2 linked regions of the Nothobranchius furzeri genome follow. Each later gene encodes a partner of the first gene's protein in a complex. Links are inferred from orthologs where the notes say so. Each region holds a gene or a part of one and is shown on either strand. Other genes may lie near its edges. The genes, in order: wwc1 and lats1.

Region 1 (4,434 bases):
AAGGTTGTGCCAACCAGGAGAAGCGGAAGTTCTGCAAATCATCCTTTGGAAAACAAGCCGACCATCCAGAAAAGTGTTCAAGACTGCATTTTACATCTGCAACTTTGAAAAAAGAAACACAAAATCTGTCAAACATTTAGTCTGACCTTTTTTCCAATTTACGCATTTATCTATCAACATGTCCCAAAGCTGTAACACGTCATTGGTTATCTGTTTAGTGTTTATTTCAGATCTCCTCCTGTGGGTGTGCACCTCACTTTTGCCCAACTTTTGTTGTGATTTTGCAACTTTATCATATTGTTTTAATTGGCCCAGTGATTATGCAGATATTTATTTTTGATATGTATGTATGCAATCAATTGAAATGGTGATGTACAAACTCAAATTGAGCTGTGATCAAATTAATTAATTTATTTAATACAAAATCGTATCTCTAATTTAGTTCTTTCTGGGGTTTTTTTTTTACTGGGCTAATTATGGGAGGTTTGTGATCATTTAAAATCAATTTTGTATATTTTTTTCATGTCATATGCTATGTTTTGTAGTATGTTGTTGTCAGATATGTGAGATTTAACCTATTTTAAATATTCAGTGTTTTGAGTTATTTTATATTTCTATGTCCATTTCATGAAACTCTTGCATAAACATTTCGGACCGGAAGTTGTATTGTTTCAGACTGGATTTGTCAACATTGGTTTTATTTTGAAACAGGAAGTGGAAGTGAGTGGATGCGCACGCAGGCTGCTTGACGCACACGGCGGCTGACCGAAGTGATCGGGTCTGAAGAAACGACTTTGCCGCCGTGCACCTTCCTTCCTGTCCGCTTCGAACCGGGACTTTAACGGGATTCTCCGGAGTTTGTTTTGGTTTGACGGGATTTGAAACGCTTTGGGTGACCTCGTTACTGTTTGTGGACAGAAGAGCGGCTCGGGGGGTTCGCTATCCCGCGGCTGGCGGCTAAAATCGGTTACTGCTGCTGAACATGGTGGCCTGCTGGAGGTAAAGCGGAGGAGACGAGCTCCGTCGGGAGTTTTGGAGGAATTTCTGGGCCGTTCGGAACCGTTCCTGTTGTGAAACGGCGATGCTCCGGTCCTGGCGCCTATCTCTTGTTCGTGTTTGGGGATAAAACTGCGGTTTGTTTCCGTTAAAACCGAGCAGCGGTGTCCGTGTTCTGTGGACCGTGGCTAATTCTTGTTAACCTAAAAGTTGTCACCAGGACCCCTACAAGTTTCTTTAAACGACCTGGAAAGTTTTGGAGCACCATGAGAGGCACAGCGGACAGTGTTGAGGGGTTGTCTTCCCCGTTTTTGTGTTTCTAGCTCGGATGCTGATGAACTGCAGCCTCCTGGAAGTTCTCCATCCCCCTGAAGCGGCTCCAATTTCCCCTGCCTGCTTCGGGGCTGCCTCGGTATTAATCTGTGGACTGTTTCGGATTATTACGATGGCCTAATCCAGCCCGCACAGCGTTAGGTGGAAATAACTGCTGATTCCGCTGCTGATGATGACAGAGAAGAGCGATGGTCTCCCTTCGTTGTGTTTCCACGTAGAGAGGAGATAGGTACATGGAGACTCGCCTGACATGCCGAGGAAGGAGTTGCCACTACCGGACGGTTGGGAGGAAGCCAGAGACTTTGATGGCAAAGTTTACTACATTGATCACATTAACCACTGCACGAGCTGGATCGACCCCCGGGACAGGTAAGGAATGTGAGAGACAGGTGTATCGACCTTTGACCCCTGACAGGTGTCAGGCGTTAAAGAGACAGCTCAGCTGTTTAACAAAGCCTTTATGGAGAAATGTTATGAACAAATCCGTATACCTGATAGCCATGTGAGCAACCTTAGTTTGGAGAAATGTAGATTAGTTTTGTCTAGATTGATGAGCTAACGGCTAGTTTAAGTGGAGGCCAGTTGCCAAGTGTTTCCAGATATTTCGTTGCCATGTGTAACGTTTTGACCCTTCCTTGAACTTCACATGACATTGTTATTTACAGCAGAAGTTGGCTGCAGCGTACATTATTCCTGGCTGGCGTTTCATAATAATTCTCACCATGGAGTCAGTTTACAGGTTAAAAAATAGCACTCGTTTAAATGTCTAAAACCTTTGAAATTGGGAACGAGCCCCCGCATCGTGAGAACAAACATCTCAGCTCTAAAGCCGATCTTAATCCGCGTACGTCACACGTCACGTGATCAGGAAGCAGAAAATCCATGTTTTAGGAGATCGTGTTGGGCCGCTGCTGTAAAAAACAAAGTGAGGCACGAACTGGAAAAGCTTCTGCCGATCGCAATTCAACAACGGATTATGAAGGAATGGATAAAGCTCGAAACGCACTGATGCTTCCTGATGTAAGAGGTGAGTGTACCCTTTGTCTTGGTAGTTTTGGCGTCGACATTATCATCAAAGAGTGCAATGTTCTGTGACTTCAAAAAAGGCAGTAAAAATGCTGGCAGTGAATGAGTTAATAACCTCACCACATAAACATACTAAGATCTAAACTATCCCCTTAATAAACAAACACACAAAAGATAAATAAACTTATTTAACAGCACATGGTGTCGTAAATTACTCGTACTTATTCATGTTTCTACTCTAATTGTTTACTTCCCCCCAGACTTTCCAAAGGTTTTTTGCTGTTCTTTAAACAGTTACGTGCTGTTTCATTCAGTTGGCCAGCAAACGGGCCCCATAGCTCAAGGGATGAGCCTGGTGTCTTGATGCCCAACAGATGATCGAACATTGAATTGGTTTAAAGTTGGATCTGCCTGTAGTCGGATTCAGTAGGTTCCCATTTCTGTAGTTGAATCTGTTAAAAACACAGATTAGAGAGTTTGAGGCTGTGAGCTGAAACGTTAGCGCTAATCCTAACCATCCATCCGTTTCAGCTACGGCTCAAAGGCCGGGCTCTTCTTTACCTTTCGTTTGTGCAGGTTTTCCATGCTGAGGTCGGATTTTGGTTGTGATCTCCATGCATCCATCCCAGCATGAGCAGAGGAGTGATGTACTTGTGTTGCTCTTTTTAAAATTCCTTCGGTGTGATCGGCTTAAAATTCCTATGATAAGAAGAACTTCCTCATGATATCATGTGGGAAAGATGGGGCGGATTTTCATCTTTCCATCTTTACCAGTTACGCAAGACTCTCCGGACTTTGACACCTAATCCATTTAATGCTTCACGTCTGGAATTCTTGAGCACATATTTTTCTCTGTGGCTTATTTATTCCGCCTTTGTGTGTGAGTGGATTAGTGCGTCGTCAACATGCAGCCAGAAACTGTTTATTCTCTTTTCTTTTCTGGGTTTCATTGTACTTTGAGTCACAGATAGTAGTATTTAATTTGATGAAACTGCGAGTCACCTCCTCCAACGACTCGTGTGTTTCGTTTGTCTGCAGAATTCCAGAAGAAGTTCTCCGGAAGACAAAAAGTTTAAAATAAATAAAACTTCCTGATACAAAAATCCACCCATCATGTTACAGTTTCATGTTTTCTCAGCGACTTCATATTTTTGTGTTCTATTAATAGAACTCTGTCTCAAAATTTAAAGAGCAAGTCACTAGGGCTGCAACAAACGATTATTTGGATAATCGATTAATCGGATGGGGTCTCGACACGATTAATCGATTAATCGGATTACATGGGGAAATTTTTAAAAACTGCTAGGGAAACGTTATTTCTCTCCTTCCTTCACTTTATTTAACACAACATTATTAGAAAACAGTTCAATAGCAGAAAAACAACATGCCATCACCTAAATTGTCTTATAAGGTGTATAGACAGAGACCCTAAGCTACATCTATCTGTGACCTAAAATGCTTGGTCCAATTAAACAGCTTAAGGGCAATTCTCATCTGTTTTGTTTGATCTCATCTGTAGACATTTATTATAACTGGGGATGTCAAACAACTAATTTTTAAATGTAATTAAACATAGGCTGTGAATTAATCAAAATTGATCACTATTTCCAAAAATGACTGAAAAAAGAAGTTGTCCCACACTCCATGGAAACTTTCAGAGAATCCACAAATAGTGGCTTTCAAATGGTTTTGTTACTTTCTGCAAGTTTAGAAAAGAAGCAGATGAGACAGCATGTCTGATAATTTAGTTTTTCATCTGATAATATTAGAACATGTCAGTAATGTCTGAGGGGCTTTTATAAACACTGTATAACTAACTACTGGAGAGGGTATGAATTACACAGAGGCTTCTGGGGAGCCCAGTGGGGGGGGGGGGGGGGGTCATTTTGCCTTGGCCCCCAAAATGTCTTGAAACGGCCCTGGGTGTGTGACTGAGTGTTGAAGGTGACCTGAATAGTATCAAATTTATAAATATTACATGTGTGTAACTTATTGTTTTATAGGTAAAAACGTGTAGTGGAGATAAATCTACCTACATTTTACTTTTCAACACTTTGTTTTGTTGTTTTTATTGAACTA
Region 2 (4,473 bases), on another chromosome or scaffold:
TCTAATTCTCCCTGGGACAACAACCCATCAACCAAGCGCTGGTCTGGGAATGTGGAGTACTTTGTTCCACGAATCTCTCCAGTTCCCCAAGGAGCTCGGCCTGATGGGTACCCAAATCCACCTCCTCAGAATCAACGCGGGGCCAACCCAGGGCCCGTAGTTCACCAGCCTATCATAATGCAAAGTTCAGGGAATAAATTCACTTCTCCTTCCACTCGGACTCAGAATGGCTCCGCTCAACAGGACTACATACCAGGGAGCAGTAGACAACCCCCTCCTCCATACCCAGTCAACCAGAGCAGCCGACACAGTCCCACCGAGCAGCCGGCATCCTCTCCTTCGTACGTCAACGGTGGAAACATCCCTCCTCCCATGCTGGTGTCTAACTGGAGCAACAGCAACCAGGACCTGTCCCCGTCATGGCAGCAGAACGTGCCAGTCCGCTCAAACTCATTTAACAACCACCAGCTCAACGGCAGACCTGCTCATCAAGCCAGCTCCCAGCCCTCTGCCACTACGGTCACGGCCATCACTCAGGCTCCCATCCTGCAGCCGGTGTCGAGCACGCAAGTCCAGAAACCAGAGCTACACACTGCCGTCGCTCCCACACATCCTCCATGGAAGCAGCACCTTTCAGCATCTCCAGCTGCGCCTGCTTACCCAGAACCTTCACCTCAGGTCCCTCAGATCCCCACAGCACTAGAGGCACCAAACTATATAGGCCCTCCTCCACCGTACCCTAAACACCTCCTACAGCAGCCGGCTGCACCCTCGCCCCCTGCGTACGACGCTGCAGCCAATAAGCTTGTTGCGGGTAGAGAGGAGAGTCCTGAGGAGGAGAGGAGCTGCAGCAGCGGCAGCAGTGGAGACGCCTCCAGGGAGAAGGTGTCAGAAAGTCTTGAAAGCACCACGGCAGCGGAGAAGGAGAGGAAACAAATCACAACATCACCTGTTCCTGTTCGCCGTAACAACAAGAAAGATGAGGAGCGCAGAGGGGAGTCTGGGAGAGTCAATCTGTATTCCCCCCAAGCCTTCAAGTTCTTTATGGAGCAACACATGGAGAACATCCTGAAGAACCATCAGCAGAGGATTCGGAGGAGGAAGCAGCTGGAGTGTGAAATGGACAGGGTGAGACCATCTATGAAAAGAAACTGTCCTTTTCTCTTTTTGACCTGGTTTCCCCGTCTTATCTTGGTAAATCTCCGATCTTTTCCACACTTTTAAGTTTTTCTTAGCTGTTCTTTCTCTTCCTTTCTCTCCTTGCTGTCACAAGCAGCTGACCTAGGAGGTTAAAGTATCTTTTCCTGTGCTGTGACTCAGAAAAGCCCAAACACACATCAGTTACACAAGTAAGGTGTCAAGTGTCTCATATCTGTATTTTCTCCTGCATCGAGTGAAAGCATGAGAAGAGTGGCATGCCATCCCGCAGCCGCCTCCGTGCACTGCACGCACATTTTTGTTTTGGGGTAAATTGATCATTAACACTTCAGGAAAGATAGATTTCACTTCGTTTTGTGGTGGTGTCACTCGTTTCCATTCATTACTAACGTCTCATTTTAACATGGATTGCATGAAAGCTGCATTTATTTATTTTTATGGTCCCCATCCTCAGGTGGGTTTGTCGTACGAAGCCCAGAAGCAGATGCGTATGATGCTCTACCAGAAGGAGTCCAACTACATCCGTCAAATGCGCGCCAAAATGGATAAGTCCATGTTCAAGCGGATCAAAACCCTCGGCATCGGAGCATTCGGCGAGGTGTGCTTGGCGAGAAAAGAGGACACGGGGTCGCTGTACGCCATGAAGACGCTTCGCAAAAAGGACGTGCTGCTGAGGAACCAGGTGGCCCACGTCAAAGCCGAGCGGGACATCCTGGCCGAGGCCGACAACGAGTGGGTGGTGCGTCTCTACTACTCCTTCCAAGACAAGGAGAACTTGTATTTTGTCATGGAGTATATCCCCGGGGGGGACATGATGAGCCTCCTCATCCGGCTCGGCATCTTTAAAGAAGAGCTGGCCCAGTTCTACATCGCAGAGCTCACTTGTGCGGTGGAGAGTGTCCACAAGATGGGCTTCATCCACAGAGACATCAAGCCGGACAACATTCTGATAGACAGAGACGGACACATAAAGCTGACCGACTTTGGTCTGTGCACAGGCTTCCGCTGGACCCACGACTCCAAGTATTACCAGAGCGGTGGGTGCTAAAGCTCAGTGTCTTGTTAGGTGTTTTTCTGTCGCTACGTCAAGCTTTTAGAATGAAAACTGTAAAACAATGGTAATGTTAACATTTATCCTGTCAAATTCACATACAAACAGATGAAAAAAGATTTTACAATAGAAAATCTTCCTTTTTGTTTTCAGATATCTTGCCGTTTGTGTCTCTCAGGTCAGGTTGAGCCTAAAAAGTAGAAGCCGGGAGGCTGTTGACATGTTTTGGATTCGTGCAATTCAACATTTCTGTTTATCAATGTACAGCGCAATAATATAAATCCAAATTACATCAACAAAAGCACATTTTAAATCAGTATTGCATCATTTAGCAACAAGGAATTATCAAATAAAGATGTCTAAGTCTTAAATTATGTGTCTGTTTATCTCTGCAGGAGATCATGAGAGACAGGACAGCATGGACTTCAGTAAGGAGTGGGAGGATCAAGCTAACTGCCGCTGTTCAGAGCGTCTGAAGCCTCTGGAGAGGAGGAAGGCCCGGCAGCACCAGCGCTGTTTGGCCCACTCACTGGTGGGAACGCCCAACTACATCGCACCAGAAGTTCTGCTCCGAACAGGTAAAGTTTTCCTTTAAAAATGTTCAGTTATGTTATTTTTGCTTCAAATCTTTGCTCTAATAATCCACATCATGGTAAATAACAGCTTTATTCTGTTTTTCAAAATAAAAGCTGAGAAACTAAATATTGACATCTTGATGAAAAAGAAAATCAATTCCAAACGTCTTTTAGTGATGTCATTTCCTGTATAACTGTAGGATACACTCAGCTCTGTGATTGGTGGAGCGTTGGGGTCATCCTGTACGAGATGGTTGTTGGACAACCTCCCTTCTTGGCGAGCACACCCCTGGAGACGCAGCTGAAGGTATGAGAGGCACCTGCTGTGAAATGTTCTGCAGCCACGGAGTTCCTTAAAGCCGCGTCTCTTTCGTTGAAACCAGGTGATAAACTGGAAGAGCACGCTGCACATCCCCCCTCAAGCCAAGCTCACCCCAGAGGCGTCGGATCTCATCGTTAAACTCTGCCGCGACCCAGAGGATCGCCTTGGTAAGAACGGCGCAGATGAAATCAAAGCTCATCCATTCTTCAAAAGAATCGACTTCTCCAGCGACCTGAGACAGCAGGTGGCACCCTACGTCCCCACCATCGCTCATTCCACAGACACCTCCAACTTTGACCCAGTGGACCCTGAAAAGCTGCGGAGCAGCAATGGCGAGGGCAACCACAACGACACGCTGAGCTGTTGGTTCCGCAAAGGAAAGCACCCCGAGCACGCCTTCTACGAGTTTACCTTCCGGCGCTTCTTTGACGACAACGGCCACCCTTACAGCTGCCCCAAACCCATCGAGTACGAGGGCTATGACGAGGACGAGGCGGACATGGAGAGCGCGGAGCTCGAGGCCGGGAAACAAGGCCGGGATCTGGTCTACGTGTAGATCCTGAAACCCACTAAGCTGCTTGTACATAGAAAGTGTGTGTGTGTGTGTGTGTGTGTGTGTGTGTGTGTGTGTGTGTGTGTGTGTGTGTGTGTGTGTGTGTGTGTGTGTGTGTGTGTGTGTGTGTGTGTGCGTGCGTGAGAGTGAGAGTGAGAGAGAGAGGAGGGGTTTGCAATGATAAAGCATTTAAAACATAGGAGTGTGTGGTTATAGGAGCACTCAGAACGCTGCAGCACGAGATCACAGTTAAAAATGAAACACCTGATCTCCAACTATGAAACTGACCTGGAGTCAGTTATCTCTGCAGAGCATGAAGACTGAAATCTGCTGACTTGTGAAAGATGATTATAAGAAATGACGAGAGAAACCTGAAACGCACCAAATCTGGTTTTTTTTTTGGGGGGGGGGGGGGGGGTTAACATGTATAAGGAAATATCAAAGTGTCACATTTGAGAAGGTGGAACCACAGATTATGGATTTTCAGACTCTAATCAGGAAAACCGCTAGTAAATAAACATCTAATATTCCTGATTTCTCACTGGAAACCATGATTTTTCTCCATCTACCTGCTAGACAGATCTACTGAAAGGGATGATATGGCCGATTATAAACATGTTTCTGTGTAAAAGCTTCATGAACAGCCTCTGTTCAGACATAAGTTCACAGCTACTCCACAGAACCAAGCTTAAAGTGTAATACCGCCGTGAAACAATTCTAATTTCCTAAATTAATCTAAACTGTTATTCAAAGATTTAAACAGCAGAAGCAAAATGTTGCACTTTGATTATAAATATGAAACGTTTTGGGTCCA

The links.
Region 2: the proteins of wwc1 (region 1) and lats1 are in contact, whole or in part, in a crystal structure (PDB 6J68), measured with the Mus musculus proteins. The link is inferred for Nothobranchius furzeri from reciprocal best matches to the Homo sapiens genes WWC1 and LATS1. Residues at the interface, in NP_740749.1 of Mus musculus: Asp17, Tyr23, Ile25, Asp26, His27, Arg30, Thr31, Thr32, Ser33, Trp34, Asp64, Val67, Tyr70, Ile72, Asp73, His74, Lys77, Thr78, Thr79, Gln80, Ile81; in NP_034820.1 of Mus musculus: Ala546, Glu547, Ala548, Pro549, Ser550, Tyr551, Gly553, Pro554, Pro555, Pro556, Pro557, Tyr558, Leu562, Leu563.

The regions. Positions count from the first base shown.
Region 1 is NC_091750.1:71,292,949-71,297,382, forward strand, and holds the start of wwc1 (protein KIBRA), read left to right. Parts: upstream 1-1,357; 5' UTR 1,358-1,579; coding exon 1,580-1,698; intron 1,699-4,434. UniProt on the Homo sapiens protein: Regulator of the Hippo signaling pathway, also known as the Salvador-Warts-Hippo (SWH) pathway.
Region 2 is NC_091742.1:11,406,612-11,411,084, reverse strand, and holds the end of lats1 (serine/threonine-protein kinase LATS1), read left to right. Parts: coding exon 1-1,128; intron 1,129-1,612; coding exon 1,613-2,195; intron 2,196-2,604; coding exon 2,605-2,787; intron 2,788-2,984; coding exon 2,985-3,091; intron 3,092-3,167; coding exon 3,168-3,662; 3' UTR 3,663-3,812; downstream 3,813-4,473. UniProt on the Homo sapiens protein: Negative regulator of YAP1 in the Hippo signaling pathway that plays a pivotal role in organ size control and tumor suppression by restricting proliferation and promoting apoptosis.